2 linked regions of the Tamandua tetradactyla genome follow. Each later gene encodes a partner of the first gene's protein in a complex. Links are inferred from orthologs where the notes say so. Each region holds a gene or a part of one and is shown on either strand. Other genes may lie near its edges.

The links.
Region 2: the proteins of GHRHR (region 1) and GHRH are in contact, whole or in part, in a cryo-EM structure (PDB 7CZ5), measured with the Homo sapiens proteins. The link is inferred for Tamandua tetradactyla from reciprocal best matches to the Homo sapiens genes GHRHR and GHRH. Residues at the interface, in NP_000814.2 of Homo sapiens: Leu119, Ala120, Glu122, Glu123, Phe126, Ser127, Val129, Lys130, Tyr133, Val179, Lys182, Leu186, Phe187, Asp190, Thr192, Asp193, His194, Cys195, Phe197, His210, Thr213, Phe217, Ala271, Cys272, Asp274, Leu275, Asp276, Trp282, Ile285, Ile289; in NP_066567.1 of Homo sapiens: Tyr32, Ala33, Asp34, Ala35, Ile36, Phe37, Thr38, Asn39, Ser40, Tyr41, Arg42, Val44, Leu45, Gly46, Gln47, Leu48, Ser49, Ala50, Leu53.

What each region holds. Positions count from the first base shown.
Region 1 is NC_135327.1:91,808,092-91,816,825, reverse strand, and holds the start of GHRHR (growth hormone-releasing hormone receptor), read left to right. Parts: upstream 1-5,119; coding exon 5,120-5,176; intron 5,177-7,842; coding exon 7,843-7,945; intron 7,946-8,088; coding exon 8,089-8,196; intron 8,197-8,734.
Region 2 is NC_135327.1:14,938,371-14,946,536, reverse strand, and holds the start of GHRH (somatoliberin), read right to left. Parts: upstream 3,659-8,166; 5' UTR 3,548-3,658; intron 610-3,547; 5' UTR 589-609; coding exon 509-588; intron 207-508; coding exon 102-206; intron 1-101. UniProt on the Homo sapiens protein: GRF is released by the hypothalamus and acts on the adenohypophyse to stimulate the secretion of growth hormone.

The sequences.
Region 1 (8,734 bases):
AAAAGTAGGTTTCTTATAGGCAGCACACAGTTGGATTTTGCTCTAACTTTCAATCTGACAATCTCTTTAATTGGGATGAATAGACTATTTAATTTAATTTATTCATTATGCTGCTGGATTTACCTCTATCATTTTGCTATTCGCTCTTTATTTGTCCCATTTCTTCTTTTTTCTTTCTTCCTTCTTTAGGGTTAATCAGTTTCATTTTATCTCCACTATTGGCTAATTAACTATATCTCTGATTTTTTTTAGTGGGAACTCAAGGATTTCTAATATATACCCTTAATTTATTAAAGCACCTTAAAATATGTCTCATTTAATAAAGAATAAGCAGTTCTTAACTTTATACTTTCATTTTCTCCCTCCAAATTTTTTATTATCATTTTCATACTTTTTTACCTCTCCATATGCTATAAAATATAACCATTACTTTAATTTTGCTTTAAGCCATCGATTACCTTTTAAGAATGTAAAACTTTTCAAAAATTATATTCATCCTTTTATTCACCATTTCCAAGATTTTCTATTTCTTAGTGTTATTCTAAAAATTTTTACCTGCCATCATTTTCCTTTTGGCTTGAAAAACTTCCTTTAACAGCTCTTGTTAGTAGTCTTTTGGTAATGAATTTTCTTGTTTTTGTTTCACTGAAAAGGTCTTTATTTTGCTCATTTGTGAAAGACATTTTCACTAGATAAAGAGTTCTAGTTTGATAGTTTTTCTTCTTTCAGTACCTCAAAGATGTGTATCCATGACTCCCCCGACTTGCATAGTTTTTGACAAGAAGTTGGCTTTAATTCTTATCTTTGCTTCTTTGCGCACAATGAATCTTTTCCCTTCAGTTGCTGATAAGAGTCACCAGTTTTCAGTAATTCAATATAATGTGCCTTGGAGGGATTTTCTTTATGGTTATTCTGTTTTCTGTTGACTGAACTACTTGGATCCAATGGGCTTATAGTTTTCATCAACTGTGGAAAATCTGTAGTCATTATTTCTTCAAATGTTTATTCTGAACCCTTTGTTTTTTTCTAGAATTCCAATTACACATATGTTAGACCACCTGACAGCTTCCCCAAAGTGATTTATGTTGTGTTCTTTTTTCCAGCCCTTTTCCTTTAGTATTTTTTCTCTTTGTTTTTCGTTCTAGATGGTTTTTGTTGTGATATCTTCAAGTTCATTGTTCTTTTTTTCTGAAATGTCTAATCTGATGTTAGTCCCAGCCAGTGTATACTTTTCATTTCAGATACTGTATTTTTCATTTTCATAAAGTGAATTTGAATCATTTTTTTATAGCTTCCATTTCTCTTCTCACATGGTCAGGTTTTGCTTTTCCTCCTTGCATGTATGGAGCATGTTTATAATAACCATTTTACCATCTTTGTTTGCTATTCCCATTAGCTTTGTCACATCTGGGTTTGTTTCTATTGAATTACTCTTTTCCTAGTTATGTGTCATATTTTCTTGCCTCCTTGCATGCTTGGTAATTTTTTATTGGGTGTCAGATGTGAACATTACCATGTGATTTGCTGAATTTTGTTTTATTCATTTTAGTAGTGTTGGATTTTCTCCCCCGGTGGACAATGGAATGTTTTGGAGCCTTTTGAAGTTTGCTTTTAAGATTTGCTAGGGTGGGTCTTGCATACCCTTATTCGAGGTCTAACTTAGTTCCATTACTAAAGTGATACTATTTTGAGGATTCTACCCCATGCCCTGTTTGTTACAAGGTCTTTCCACTTGAACTGGTGAAGTTCAAAGTATTTCCAGCAATTCTGAGATCTAGCTCTGCCTACTCCACTCCAGACATTCTTTCTCCAGTCTTGCTTAATTTCCTCTCACATACTCACAGGTAGGTACTCAGCCAAAGGTATCTACAAAGATACTGCAGATCTTGGCTTGTTTGTTTTTCAGTGTCTAAAAGCCCAATACTTTGTATGTTTTGTTAGGATTTCTTGTTGCTAGGGCAGGAGGGTAGAACGGTCCCTGTTACTCTACTAGAGCCAGACGCAGAAGTTCCTCAAAATATATTTTTGAGACAGCTCCATGCTCAGATATGTAGATTTAGTTCATTTCTTTAAACTGCTATAAAGTATTGCATTGTATGACCATATCTCATTTTGTTTATGTCTCTTTTTCCTAGACATTTGTGTTGTTCCTAGATTTTTACTACATATTATAAATAATATGCTTTTTGGGGAAAATACCCATAAATAGAATTTCTGATTTATAAGTTATGTTCATTTTTAGATTTGATAGAAAGCATCAAATTGCTTTTCAAAATGGCAGCTCCAGTGTTCACTCCCATCAGTACAGTGTGAAAGTACATATTTCCCCACAGTATCCTCCAAACATCATATTATCAGACACTAAAATTTCAGGCAATGTGATAGGGGATAAAGGTAGCTCATTATTATTTTAATTCTAATTTTCCTAAGTATCAGTGAATTTGCACAATTCTTCATCTGTTTATTGACCTTATGCTTTACTTCTTTCATGAATTGCCTGTTTTATTCTTTGCTCCCTTTTCTATTGGATTATTTTACTCTTTACTATTAATTTTTAGATATTCTTTATCTACTTTTGGTACTATACTTTCGTTACTTAAAATTTTTTTTGTAAATATTTCTCTGAGTATATGGCTTGCTTACTTTTAATCTATGGTGTCTTTTCTTGCACATACTTTTGTTTTTTTGCATAGGCGGGCACCGGGAAATGAACCTGGGTCTCCGGCATGGCAGGCAAGAACTTAGCCTGCTGAGCCACCATGGCCTGCCCTTGCACATACTTTTTTGATGTCGATGTGTTCAAACTTAATGATCTTTCCTTTATATTTTTCACATAGGAAAACCTCCTTTATTCTAAGGACATAAAATAAATTTCTATTATTTGAAAAATTCTTTTTATTTTGCTACTTTATAGTTAGACTTTAAACCTTCAGTTTATACGTGTAAATGTGAGCCAGAGGTCTAATCTTATTTTTTTCAGACAAAGAATCAATTGTCCCTACTTTATTTGTTGGTGGTCCATCCTTGTCACATGCTACCATCAAGGCCGCCGACTGTGAGATGGTCCCTGCCTGGGTGCTCTATGCGCCTTTCCTTCTTTATTCATCCCATCAATTCTACAAGGAAGGTAATAGTAGGATTATCTCCATTTTTCAGATGGGGAAACTGAGGCTCATAAAGATTAAATATCTTGCTCAAGGTCACATAGATAGCAAGCAATGGGTCTAGAATCTGGACCTAGAGTATAGAGAGCTAGAATGGAGTACCGTGACCCTGGGCTATTAAAAAAGAATGACAGGCCTGGAAGAACCCTGGGAATACAAACCTTTGGGTCAAGATTTCTCAACCTTGGTACTATTAATATTTCGGACTGGAAAATGTTTTAGCTGGTGGCGGCGGGGAGGTGTCATCCTCTGCATTGTAGGGAATTCAGCAGCAGCCCTGGCCTCTACCCACTAAATGCAAGTCCCACCTTGCCACTTCCCCCACTCTCCTCCACTCTGGGTGGTGACAGTGAAAGATGTCTCTAGACATTGCCCTGTCCCCCAGGGGACAAAATTGCTCCTGGTTAAGAACCACTAATTCAGATAATAATAACTATTATTAATGTGCCACTATCAATTATTAATCATCATTAATGCTACTGATTTCGACACTAATTATCAGTGGTGATAATCCTAACATTTGCCCTTGGCCTGTTACCTATTTGGAGCTGAGGGATATGAGGTTGCAACTTTTCCTTTAAGGTCTACCCTCTCAACATTCTGGTCTCCCAACAGGTGAGTCTTTCTTCTGTATCACCCTGAAAATGTGCGCTTTCACCATCACAGCAAACACATGGAAACACTCGTCCAAGGGTATGGGGTGGTGGGGCTTGGGTGTTGCTCTCGTTTTATTTTCAAAATCCTTTCATTTAATGTTTTCTTGGCAGTGGACAAATACGGAAAAATAAAACCCTGCTGATGTAAAACGATTCCTCAATCCAGATGTGGCGGGGGTGGGGAACAGTGCATCATTTGCGGAATGCGTCAAGCCTGCAAACATGCGTGCTGACACTGCCTCCGTCCGGGCCTACAGCTGCGGGGAATGAAGACCTGCAGGCAAGTCTCAGGGCTTCCCAGGGCTTCGGATGCTTAGGGCCCTCAAATATCAAATCTGCTTCCACATTTCATGTTCTGCAGGATCTAGGGCAATTTAGAACTGTCTTTAAGCCTGGCCTTTTGGGAGCCCACGTTTTGAGGTCTAAAACTGTAATAATGACCAGACAACAAACGTTCAAAATGTTTTCTGGGGCTGTATAGTCTTCTTATTGCTGGTACTGATAAGTCTTTGTGCCCCAGAGGTCCCGGGCTCAGCTAGCCTAGCTTTGTAGTGCCTCGCCAGGCTCTCCATCAAGCTTACCTCTCCTTGCTGTCCTGAGGGGCTCCTGAGATACTTGACCGGCCCCCAGGTGAAGCCCAGGGCCTGAAAACTTACAGATTTCCCCTCATCACCCAGGCAGGTATTCTTGTGAAGTTCTGCGGTCCTTCTAGGCTGGCCCACGCTGGTGCTTGGGGCTCCTCTGCTAAGCTCCTTCTTCCTGCCCTACCCTCTTCACTGGCTCCATCCCCCCAGCTCTGAGCTCAGTCCTCAGCCCTGTGGACTCAGCTGGAATCATCAGCTGGTCTGGGAGCTCCCCGGGGGGCAGGGGCCAGGTCTCCTCTCTCATCCCCCAGGGCCCGTCATTTGGAGGCTGGGGGCTCCCTCTACTATGTAGGCTAGCAAGTGGCTGGGCCCAGAGGGCAAAATGGTAAAGGATATTGAATAACTGCCGCAAGGCAGGTTCCTATGGCTGTCATGTCTCTGGGCCCTTGCCATCAGGACAGACACATAGGTAGACTTACGAACGGCACGGAAGGAGGTGGGGGCCTCAGCCCCTCCCTGCTGTGGACACAGAGTCCCAGCCTAGGCCAGGGCTGAGTTGGAAACCTCATCCTGCAGTCCTGGTGAATATTCAGCCAGTTCTAGCTCTTGCTTATGCAAACAGCAGCCTGAGAAGGGACGCAGAGGGTGGCGGGCGGTGGCAGCAGGAGAGGGCATGTGGGAGAGGGAAGAGGACCACCTCTGCTGAGTCCCCAGCATGGACAGCCGGACATGGGGCACTTGCCTCCTCTGCTTACTGAGCCCATTTCCAATCGTGAGTAGCCTGCTCAGACCCTCCTGCCTCTCCCGCGGGGCTCCGGGTCTGGGAGCCATAGGGCTGCTGGGAGACCAACCGGAGCCTGGTGGAGACCCCACTGCCCTTCCTCCATGCAGGATCTCTACTAAGCAGTCTCCTTCCTTCCCCGAGGCCAGCAGTTCCATTTCTGGGTAGCTCTGACTAGATCTCCCCAGTGCCGAGCTGAGCCCCGCTCCCCACTGTTCCTCCCAGAGCCTGTTTATGCCCTCTGCAGGCACAAGAAGCTGCTTCAGAATTGGCAAGACAAAGTACTCACCTCAAGTCTACTTTCTCTAAGCTACACCCCCCAATTCCTACACACGCGCTTCCTCTGATAGGTTTTCCAGACCCTTCCCTGTCCCCATAACTCCCTTGAGCCACACTCCAAGTGGCTGGTTTCCTTTTAAGAGTCTGATGCTGAGACTGAGCAAGGTCCCGAGTAGTACATGGAGAAGCAGCTGCTCGCCTCCAGCATTTAGGGGATTCTTCTCCTGGCAGTGCCCCTGGGGGCTGGCAGAGCGTTTGGCAGCCACATCTTGCTCTATGGTCTAGAGAGCTGAGGAATGGGGCACCAGGACAGAGGGCCTTCCCTGAATGTGCTGTGATCTCCCAGCACATTTTCCAGGAAGTGGCTAGATGTGATAGCAGGGATGGGGAGGGGAAGCCAGCGCCTGCGGGGAGCTTGTCGGAGTCCAGGCAGACAGAGGTCTCATTTTTCCTCCAGTGCTTCAGCTACCCTGGCCTTATGGGGCTGCCACCCCTTCCCACTACTTCTCTGCCCTGGCCCTTAGGGCACAGGCTTCGTACTTGAATCCTGGCACCAGAAAACTAGCTGTGTGACCCGGGGCAGGTACCTAACCCTTCCTGAGCCTCCCTTGCCTCTTTTGTAAAAAGGGAAAACTGTGTCCATTGATTGTGATCTGATTTGTCGAGGCCGGGCCCAGGGGTACAGAACATGCCCTCTTCATCTGTAGGGAAGGAATCCTCGTCCCTGTCATCTGTGTGCACCCAGGGCAATAGCTCTATTTTCAGGAGAGTGAACTGAGACCTCTCCTGGGTCCTCCAGCAGGACTAGAACCAATCAGTCAGCACTGCAGGCTCCATTCCCAGGGACCCCGGGAGTGCCCAGGGTGATGGAGTCTCCTCTCAGGGTGGGTGGGACACAGGGTATAGGTTGGGGTGCTCCCACCCCCCATGCAGCTTGCCCTGTGACCACACTTCCTGTCCCATTAGTTGGGTTTCTCAGTATCTTCCTCTCTGAGGAAGTCTGGGGCACAGCCGGTCCACACTCTTGGTGGGAAGCCAGCCAACCAGGGCCCTAGTCCCTCCGACCTCAGTAGTTCTCCAGGCAGACCCTGAGAAGATGTTCCAGGGAGGGATGGAGCTTGCCAGTCAGTGGAGGAGGAGGAAGGACAAATGGAGATTTCAGGTTACAGTTAGGCTACTGGGTAAGAAAAGTCCCAGACAGGACATCTCGGGCACTCCTCACCTCCCCTGACTCCAGTGCTCAGCATGCTGTGGGGGAGGTGGGGAAGGGAGTAATGAGGCTGAGGCTCTGTGCTCAGATGGCCCTGTGGCCACGAGTCCTGGAGAAGAAGCCAAGAACAGTCTGAGATACTGGTCAAAATGGAGAGCTGGGGTCTGGACAGTGGGCATGTACAGCCCGAGGCCCTGCAGGGCCAAGCCGGAGATGACAGAGCAGGTGAGCCCAAGCTGGGGTTTGGAAGTGGGGTCAACAGGTTGGGAGGGGAGTGCCCTCCTCTGCAGGGGCAGGACGGGTAGGGGTGGGTCCATCTCCCGGGCTGGGCCTCCATGTCCTCTCCCAGCCCATTGGCCTGTAGCAAGTGTCCTGGGTCCCTCCCATGTGCTCACCCACATGAAAGCAGAGCGTGGAACAAGGGCACCCATGTATGTAGTTTATATGGAATTGATTTCAGTGATCATGAGAGCAGAACAGGGGGAGTAAAATAGGAAAGGAAGATGAGTCGTTGGTATCTTATAAGGACTTTCGTTAATGGTGTCTCAGAATTTGCTTCCACAAGGTGAAAAGGAGAAAAATGTATCTATTGACTCCTATTCCCTCCTGCAGTTCTGGATTTTGCATGCATGAGTGTGGAGTGGGTTCCTGTGGCTATTCCATGCTGTAACACCCGATGAGGCTGGGACAGGAAGTGAGAGGCACATGGTGTGCTGTCTAATTGCATGTGCATAAAGCCAAATGGAATCCACGAGGAACTGAACACTGCAGCCATTGCTGGAATAACAGGGGGACCCACAGGACTTAGAAATGTTGCATATGTGTTCAATATACTTATTAATCTATTGATGTCTCTATTCACATAACTATTATTCATCCATCTTTCTAACCACGCATCCATCCATTTATTCAAACATCACTTCATCTGTCCACCCACCCATCCATCCATCCATTATCTGTCCATCCATCATCCACCCACCCACCCATCCACCCATTTATCCAAGCATACATTCGGCACACCTTTTACATGCTGTGAGCCAAGCTCTGTGCTTAGGATCAAGAGCACAGAAACAAGTCAGGCTTTGTCTCTACCCTCAGACCATTTGGACCGAAGACCCAGAATAAGTTCCCAATGTGCTTGGCTCATCCTGTTACCTCTTTTCTGCAGGTATTGGGCCTTGTGCACCCAGAATGTGACTTCATCATGCAATTGAGAGAGGATGAGCATGCATGCCAACAAGCAGCAGAAGGGCTGCCCAACACCACCCTGGGTATAGGGCTTGGAAGGGAATTGGGGGCTGAAGGGGAGAGGAGAATTCTCTGACCCTTTAATCTCCTCCAGCCTCACCACTCCGAATGCTGGGTGAGCCTTTCCCCTGGGCTGAGTCTCTGTGGCTCCCATCTCTCTGTCCAGGCTGCCCTAGGACCTGGGATGGCCTGCTGTGCTGGCCGGTGGCAGGCTCTGGCGACTGGGTCACCCTCCCCTGCCCAGATTTCTTCTCTCACTTCAGCCCCGAGCCAGGTGAGTGGTCTCAGGTGGTTGCATCTGTTGATGGCAGAACAAGATGGACAAATCCTGGCCTCTGGAGGCAGGCAGACCTGGATTTGAATACCGACCTTCAATCTCTCCGCGTGACCATGGGCAAGTTGGTCATCCCATCCCAGCTTCAGCTTCCTTACCTGTGAACTGGGGAGAATAAGAGCATTTACCTCACAGGGGGCAGGGATCAGAGAGTGAAGCATCCAGGTGCAGGCCTGTGCCTGGCACTAGAAGTGCTCCCAGATGTTTGCAGGAAGGCTGGCTGCCAAATGTACAGGGTGACAACAACTGCCTGGGACGACTCCCTGGAGGGGCGTGGGTAAAAAGCTCCCTTGGCTGCTCTGCCTTACCAACCTGGCGTGCATGTCTGGGTTGGCACAGCCTCTCCAGGGGAACAGAGGGGGCCTCCTTTCATCCCCCCGCCCTTAGGACACCCAGGGCCCAACTCTGTACCCTTCCAACTCCTCTGCGGTCAGTTCAAGAGAATGATTCTCTCTGTTTCACAGATGGCGACTCTAAG
Region 2 (8,166 bases), about 77 Mb from region 1:
CGAGGAAAGAGCCCAAACTTGGGCCCTCGCATCCTGCATCAGAGCCCCCAAACTCTGACTTACAGGGGGTGTAGGAAGAAATTGCTAGAACCTTTGCTTACCCCTGCTGCCTGCTCATGATGTCCTGGAGTAGTTTGCGGGCAGACAGCTGGCCCAGTACCTTCCGGTAGCCATTGGTGAAGATGGCATCTGCATACCGCCGCGTCCTGTGTCGAGGGGGTCAGAGGTCAGAGGGCAGGGTGGCCGGGGCCAGGCAAGAAAATACTGGGGGCCTGTACTCACTATGTCTCCTCAAGATCCTTCTCTTGCCCTTTGTCCAGCTCACCCCCAGATTGACTCAGACCCAGGCCTGGGTGGCCTCTCTGGAGCTCAGGGTCTGCCCCCTTCCCGGAGATGGGGAGATAGGCAGGGGACAGCTAACGACTTGCTTCTGCATCCCGCAGCCCTCTGTGGCAGGGATGGCTTGGGAATGGCCAGAACCCCAGGCGCTGTGGGCCAGGCCACGTACCTGAGGGGCAGGGAGGGCAGGGAGCAGTAGGAGCTGCTGCTGAGGGCGAGGATCATGAGGAGGAGTATCCAGGGCATCATCCTTCGCTCCGGGGCAGGCACCTGGAAAATGACAGTGGGGGGAGGGTCTGGGGCAGCCACGGCCACTGGTGTGCCCTTTTCTGGCTCTCGCAGTCATGGGCTCTGACCTCATTTTCTCCATCTGGAAAATGGGCATGATAAAGCTGCCCCGTTGACCTTTTGTCCCAGGCGCCAGAGGCCCCACCAGCCACGTAGAGGCCCCACCACTCACCTAGAGCCGAGTTGTGGTTTCTGGCAGGCAGGGCTAGCACTGGTGAAATCCACCTTTCTTTTCTGGACTTACTTGCCCTCTCAGAGCATCACCCCTTTCCTCCCAGGTCCTGAGGTCTCAACTAACCCAGGGATGCCTTGGTCCCAGAGGGAGCACCCTTCAGGTCTGCTCACTGAGGTCTGAGAGTCCCACATCTCCAGAGCTGGAGGGAGCAGCCACCCAGGCTTCAGGAATCTGTTCCCTCCACCACCGCCTCCAACAGGCAGCCCTCCAGCTCCCACTCTGGCATTCGCTGGTCAGTGATGACGGGGAGCTCACTAACTCCAAGCCAGTCTGTCCTATCTCCAGGCAGCTCTTATAGTTATGAGGTTTTTCTCATCTTGCCAGGCCCACATATCTCCTTATCCTGCAAATATTTGTTAAGTCTGTACTATTCTGATAAAGACTTGGGGCTAGAGAAAAGACTAGAATATTGTATCTGCCCCCAGGGCTGCCCTTTTCACATCCACCTGCTGTGCCTCCCAGAGCCTCACACCTTCATCCACAGGATGAGACCCTTAGATGAGTTTTGCATCTGACTTAAGCCTTTGCTCCTCGGACCAAGGATCTCCAGTAGTTTGCCATCCTCCTCCTTGTAGCACCATACTCCCTGGCTCCCCCAGCCTGGTCCAGGCTGCTTCTCTGGCAGTAAAATTTCCTAAGCAGAGAGGTCTTCAGGAGCAAGGAGGGCCCCTTAACACAATGCACTGTAGCCTGGGCTTTCTTGCCTCCTTTGCTGATGATCTTCTAAAGATTTGGGCACATCCAGCCCCCCAGACACTTCACTCTCCTGCTCAGAAGCCCTCTCCCTTCAGAGTTCTCCCTCTGCCTCCCACCCCTTCCCCCTAGAGTCCCCCTCAGTGGTTCCCAGCCCCTGTGCCCCCCTGGTCCACACAGCCCGTGCTCACACTCGCCCCCCAGAGCAGGTATCATGACCCCCATTGTACAGCCAAGAAAACAAGCCCGGGGAGGAGATGGGCCCTTTCCCATGGCCCTTCATCAAATTAGTTTAGGAGTGGGCACTTCAGGATGGGCCTCCCGATTGATTCCCAGGCCAGTAGACTTCCTCCTGCTCCCCTCAGCAGCCTCCCGGCTACAATGCCCTATTCACAGCCCTCCCTATTCATGGTGCGCCTCAGAAATCATCACCTGCACGTGGGAAACAGCTGAAAAAAAAGAAAAAGGAAATCATTCACTCCTTGTCACTGGGGCTCTAGGAGAAGGAGAAAGAGGGACAAACAGGAATACCTGTTTGGTGCCTCCCTGTGCACCCACAGTGGTTTCAGGGAGTTGAAGGTCCCTGTAAGAGTGCAGGACCGGGGGTCAAGTAACAGTAAATATGGCAACATCTTGCTCTCAAAATGAGACTGAGTAATTGTACATTCTGGCTAACCAAGAGACACGTGTGTGGTAAAGCAGGTGCCCTAGGTTTGGGTCAAGCCTCCACTGCAACCTCTGGCCTATGAGACTGTTATCCACGGGGCTGCAAAATCCCACTGGACAAAGATGGGAAGCAATCAGAATTATCCAGCTCATGGTAAAATAAGAAAAGAGCTTGGGCAACAGAGGATAAAATCGCTACTGACAGATACATTCCACATGATCATTCTAGGGAGCTAGAACTCCCTGAATTAAGTGTGACACCAACCCAACAGCAATACCAATGACTTCTAGATGACTCCAAAGGCATTTTAGAGTTTATTATCTATCATTATGAATACCAGCCAATTTTCTGCTGTGCTTACAAACTAATTCTGTGATTAGATGCATTCGAAGTCATTTGGATTCAGGATAAATGGGCACTTGCTCTTCATTAGTTGGCACCTTTTGCCAGCCTTCAAGCCAAGAATGCCATGAGAATTCTGCAGATGCAGCTTCAGCGAGAGACAGAAGTCAGATCTCAAGTGCAAAGACTAGTGAGGCCACTTTTGAAAATGTAGGAAAAAAGAAACTTTTACAAAACTTTCCTAAATATTCTGCTTTGTAATTTGGGAAGCCTAAAGCAATGGCATCCCAACCCAGTTTAAAAACTGTCTCACCAATAGTGCTCTAAGTCAAAGGAAATCTGTTACTACTGAGGTAGCATCTTAACTGTCATCCAAAAGAGTGAGGGACACCCTGTCTTCTGGAAAGGGTGAATACATCAGACTCATTAAAGCAAGGATTGAGATAACAGTGATGGGGTAATGGAGGGCACCAAGGATGGATAATTGTGTCTAAAACCTAGAGTAAAGAGCACAGCTGCAACTGAGCAAGAAAGCAAAATGTTATCAATTCCCAGGCAATTAGGTTGAACCGGTTCTGGGCAGTATTGATTTGCACAGCTACTTGGCTTCTCTCGGATCCATGGCAGAATCCCATCGTTGACAAGATAATTAGCCAGCTCATGCCTTGCCCCAGAAGTGTGCTTGCACGCCCTTGAAGGTACACTGACACCTCACTCGCCTTCAACAGATGCCTACCAAACACTTCCCCATGGGTTGAGGTGCTACGGCATCCAAAATAATCCTCAACTGGTGCCAGCCCTCAAGCATGTGCCAGAGCCTCTAAAGAGGGCTTATTTTACCCAGAAAGGGGCACAAATGTACTCACCAGTCAATGGGCAAAGAGGGTGGTGCCGGACCCCCTTGACTTGGCATCTCTGAGTTGGTGAGAAGGTCAACTTTTCTCGCCCCCATCCAGCCCAGCCCCAGGGCCACCCCTGCTCACCTCCGATGTGACAGGTCTCCCTCTGCTATGAGTCGCTGCTCCAGTTCCACGGACCTCAGCCTCGGTGTCTGCTCCGGCGGCTGCGTGGCACTCCCACCATTTATACCTTCATTTTCCTAAGCATTGTCAGCGTCAGAGAACCAATTACCCACAAGTCAACCAAAGGACCATTTTTAGCATCACAGTGACAAACCCTAATAGGGGAAAGAGGTTTTTCCCCTTGCAAATTAAGACTCCTACTGACCTTTCCCTTTATCTTTGAGGGAACAGAAAAAAGTCAAAGTTGCAATATTATTCCAGCAGGAATAGAGTGTGTAATACTGCTGCTCTAATAAATGGAGTACTCAAAACAATGAAACACCAAGGATGCATTTGTTCTTGAAAACAATAATTTTGCGTCTTTAAAAAATTCGTATAATTTTGTCTTGTCCAGATGATACTTTATTTCACCTTAGGGGAGCCAAAATAATAAACGTTTTGCTCTCCTTAGTGAAGAAAGTTGTTTGCTCTCTCCCTTGTCCAATTATCAAGATTTTTCTCTGTTTGACTTGCGCCTGCTGCGGTCACAGGCTGGTCTAGACAGCTAGCCCCGGGAGCTTCCTTCATCTTGTGTCAAGGCAACCAAGCATCAGTAGTCGCCTCTGAGATGTGTGAAGAGAAGGGAAGGAGATGGAAAACCTTGGGAGAGATGTTGTGCTTTCAGATTTCCCTAGCATATGGCTAAGGAATCCTCTGGAATAATATAAACGTGACGCAGACACACCGGTGTCCCACACTGCTTTCTGTGGCGATGTGGGAAGAGTCAGGAGAACTGCTGCGTCTCCCATGCCTGTCAGTCCCCACCTCTGTGACCCTCAGCAAGTTACTTCTACCCTCCAGGCCTCAATTTCTTTTCCTGTAAACTTGAGAGTTGGCTCCGAACATCAGCTTTCAAACTTGTTTTAAAAAATGGCATACCCCCTTCCTTCAGAAATCTTCTGTGGCAGCACAGTATATAAAACAGATAGAAAACGGGGCTGCTGTGGTTAAAGAGGAGGCAGCAGAGACTCCCTTTACCTGACCCTTAGACACCCCTGTGGGGCACAGTTAAAAGTGAGTTGTTTCTAAGGACCCTGCTAGCAACAATATTTCGTGATTCTGCTTCTTGGCTTGCACTGAGTGGTATTCTTGACACAGAGCAAGCATGGACTGCTTCTCCTAGAAGCAGGGACTAAGTGGCATGTTGCTCTGCCCATCTGGACACAGTGTGATCAGGGCAGGCCGGACCCCCTGGGACACAGCAAGAGGCAGCAGGTGGAACTGTCTGTGGACTCTCCTCAGAGAGTCAGAAGGACTAGAGGATGCAAGCCAGGGACCACGTGGAGCTGGGGACCCAGACTGGATGCCAGGCCAGAGCCCAGAAGCCAGACACATGGAGTTAGCTGGAGAACCGTGGGGGTCAGAAGTCAACCCCAGTTGGGGCTCTGTGCCAGGTGTTGCAAGAAGGACTTCATGTCTCACCCCAGTTTCCTCATCTGTAAAGTGGGTGTGAAGGACTCAGCAGTCGAAGCTGTTGGGTACCGGCCTGACATAGGGTCAGCCTCACCGATTAGCTATTACTACTGCTTTGTTGCTACCAACAAGAAAAGTTACATACTGATCGCAGTCACAGAGCTGGTCAGGGATAAAGCCAGGACTCCAGCAAAGGTGGGCTGACTCCCAAACTCATGCTCCACCTCAAGCTAATGTTCTCCTGAGGCCCTGCCTTGGTCCCATCAGTTCTTCTTCCTTATCTTTTTCTTTTCAAAGAGCTTTAACAGTTTTATTGACGTATAATCAATATGCCATAAAACTCACCTGTTTTAAGTAAACAGCTCAATGAGTTTTCATAAATGTATACAGTTGTACAGCCAGCACCACCATCCTGTTTTGGAACACTTTCATAACCCTGCAAATTCCCCAGAGCCCATTTGTTGTCAGTTCCCATGGCCTACACCAGCTGTAGGCCACCACTGATCTGCTTTCTGTCTCTATGGTTTTCCTTTACTAGAAAGCTCATATAAATGGAAGCATACAATATGTACTCTTGTGTGTCTGGCTTCTTTCACTCAGCATAATGCTATCAAGATTCAGTCGTGTTATTCCATGTAGCAGTAGTTTGTTTCTTTTTCCTGTTGGGTAGTATTCCCTTGTATTGCAGTTCATTTATCCATTCATTTGTTGATGGACATCCGAGTTGTTTGCAGTTTGGGGCTATTCTGAATAATACTGCTATGAACATCCAAGTACAAGATTTTGTGCGAACATATGCTTTCATTTCTCTTGGGTGGGTACTTAGGAGTGGATTCACTGGGTTGTATGGTAAGTGTACACTGAACTTTTTTTAAAAAATATTTTTATTGACAAATCTTCACAAACATACAGTCCATACATGGTATACAATCAGTGGCTCACAATATCATCATATAGTTGTGTATTCTCACCATAATCATTTTTTTGTGAAACATAACCACATACAAATACAAACATTCTTACCATATAATCATTCCTTTCTTGTTATATAAATAACTCACAATATCATCACAGTTGTATATTCGTCATCACGATCATTTCTCAGAACATTTGCATCAATTCAGAAAAAGAAATAAAAAGAAAACAGAAAAAACTCATATATACCATACCCCTTACTTCTCCCTTTCATTGATCACCAGCATTTCAATCTACCAAATTTATTTTAACATTTGTTCCCCCTATTATTTATTTTTAATCCATATGTTCTACTTGTCTGTTGACAAGGTAGATAAGGAGCATCAGACACAAGGTTTTCACAATCACACAGTCACATTGTGAAAGCTATATCATTATACAATCATCATCAAGAAACATGGCTACTGAAACACAGCTCTACATTTTCAGGCAGTTCCCTCCAGCCTCTCCATTACACCTTAACTAGAAAGGTGATATCTACTTAATGCGTAAGAATAACCTCCAGGATAACCTCTCGACTCTGTTTGGAATCTCTCGGCCATTGACACTTTATTTTGTCTCATTTCACTCTTCCCCCTTTACACTGAACTTCTTAAGAAACTGCCGAGCTGTTTTCCAAGGTTGTTATAACACTTACGTGCCTGCCAGCAGTGATGGAGGGCTCTCCCACCGGTTCTTAAAGACGCTCAGTCATCACTTATTTCCTTAACCCACAAACACCTAAGTACCCAGTTAGGACCACGCAAGGCTCGTTGGGTTAGCTGTCCATCACTGAACCATCTGGTCCCCTTTCTGTTGTTAGGGGAGTGGGGCAGGGCATTTTCCTAGGTGCCATGAGAAGAGCAGAATGTGTGGTACCCGGCTTGTCTTCAGTGAGCTGCAGGAAATGGGCATGTGAGAAGCGAGTAATTATTCCAGGCAGAAGTTCGAGAGAGAGGAACATGCCATGAAAGCTCCAATATCTGAGAGCAGAGCGGAGTCACACAAAGCTGAGAGAGCATCAGAGAGGAGGGGAGAGAAGCCGCTGGGTCTAGAAAAGGAGTACAGGCTTAGGTAACAAGAGGATCTGGATTTGAAACCAGTTCTGCCACTTACAAATTGTCTGATTCTGGACAGGTCGCTTAATCTCTCCCAGCCTCTGTTATCTCATCTGTACAATGGGGTTAGTAACACCTACCACTCCAGGTTGTTGTGAGGTTCAGAAACATGCTTGTAAAGTGTCTGATAGATTCTTGGCAAATGGTAGCTGCTTTTATAGTTCTTATGATCAGAACTGAGCCCTAAAAGCTGGGTGGGGTGGTGGTAGGGAGAGCTGAGACTAGTCTTGGTGACAAGCTTTATTTACAGTGGATTCTCAGACCTGTTCAGGAAGGGCATGGGGGAGAAAGCCAAGAAGAGCTGACGCGCGGTGGGAATGAGGGTGCAGGCCCCTCCAGTGATTCCCCCCCGCCCTCCTTGTCCTTTCCACCCCACCCCTACCCCCCCAAGAAGCAGTGAGAGAGCCACCCCCGCCACCAGGTCCTCGGTGCTCTTTCCCAGGACATGTTTTAACCCGGTATTAATTAGCGATAGCGGCTGCATCTAGGAGCTAGGGGCTCAATCTTGTAAAAAGAAAGCGCCCTAGAGAATGGCAGGCTCCAAAAGACCCCAGAGGGTCGGGGCAGTGGGACTCCACCGAGAGGGAGACAAGCCCTGCATTTGTGTTGCAAATTTCCAATGTGTGCGAGCCAGTCATTCAAAGAGGGTGACGCTAAAGGCAGTGGGAAAGGGGGTGGGGAGGGGAGTGGAAGTCGACAATGGGGGCCTGTCTGAGGACCTCAGACCCTGCTTTGTAAAAGCTGCTTTTATCGTCCTCCATGGATTATGGCAGTGCTTCCAGCTGAGGCTACTGGCAATGGAAGGGAGAGGCCTGGAGTCCCGACTCCCAGAGTCCTTTGACTCCTTCTGCTCCCCCTTTCTCCCTGCCCCCTGGCCTGCTCGGCCCCTTTTTTATGCAGTCAGCAGCAGCAGATGCCATATGAGTGCTTGTGAATCCTTGGTCAGAGTGAGGGGACGGGGTGGACTTAGGTAAAGTCACTTGACTTCCCTGAGCCTCAGTTTCCTCTTCTGTAAAATGGGCCAATCAGATCCTCTCTTCCTGCTTCACAATGGCC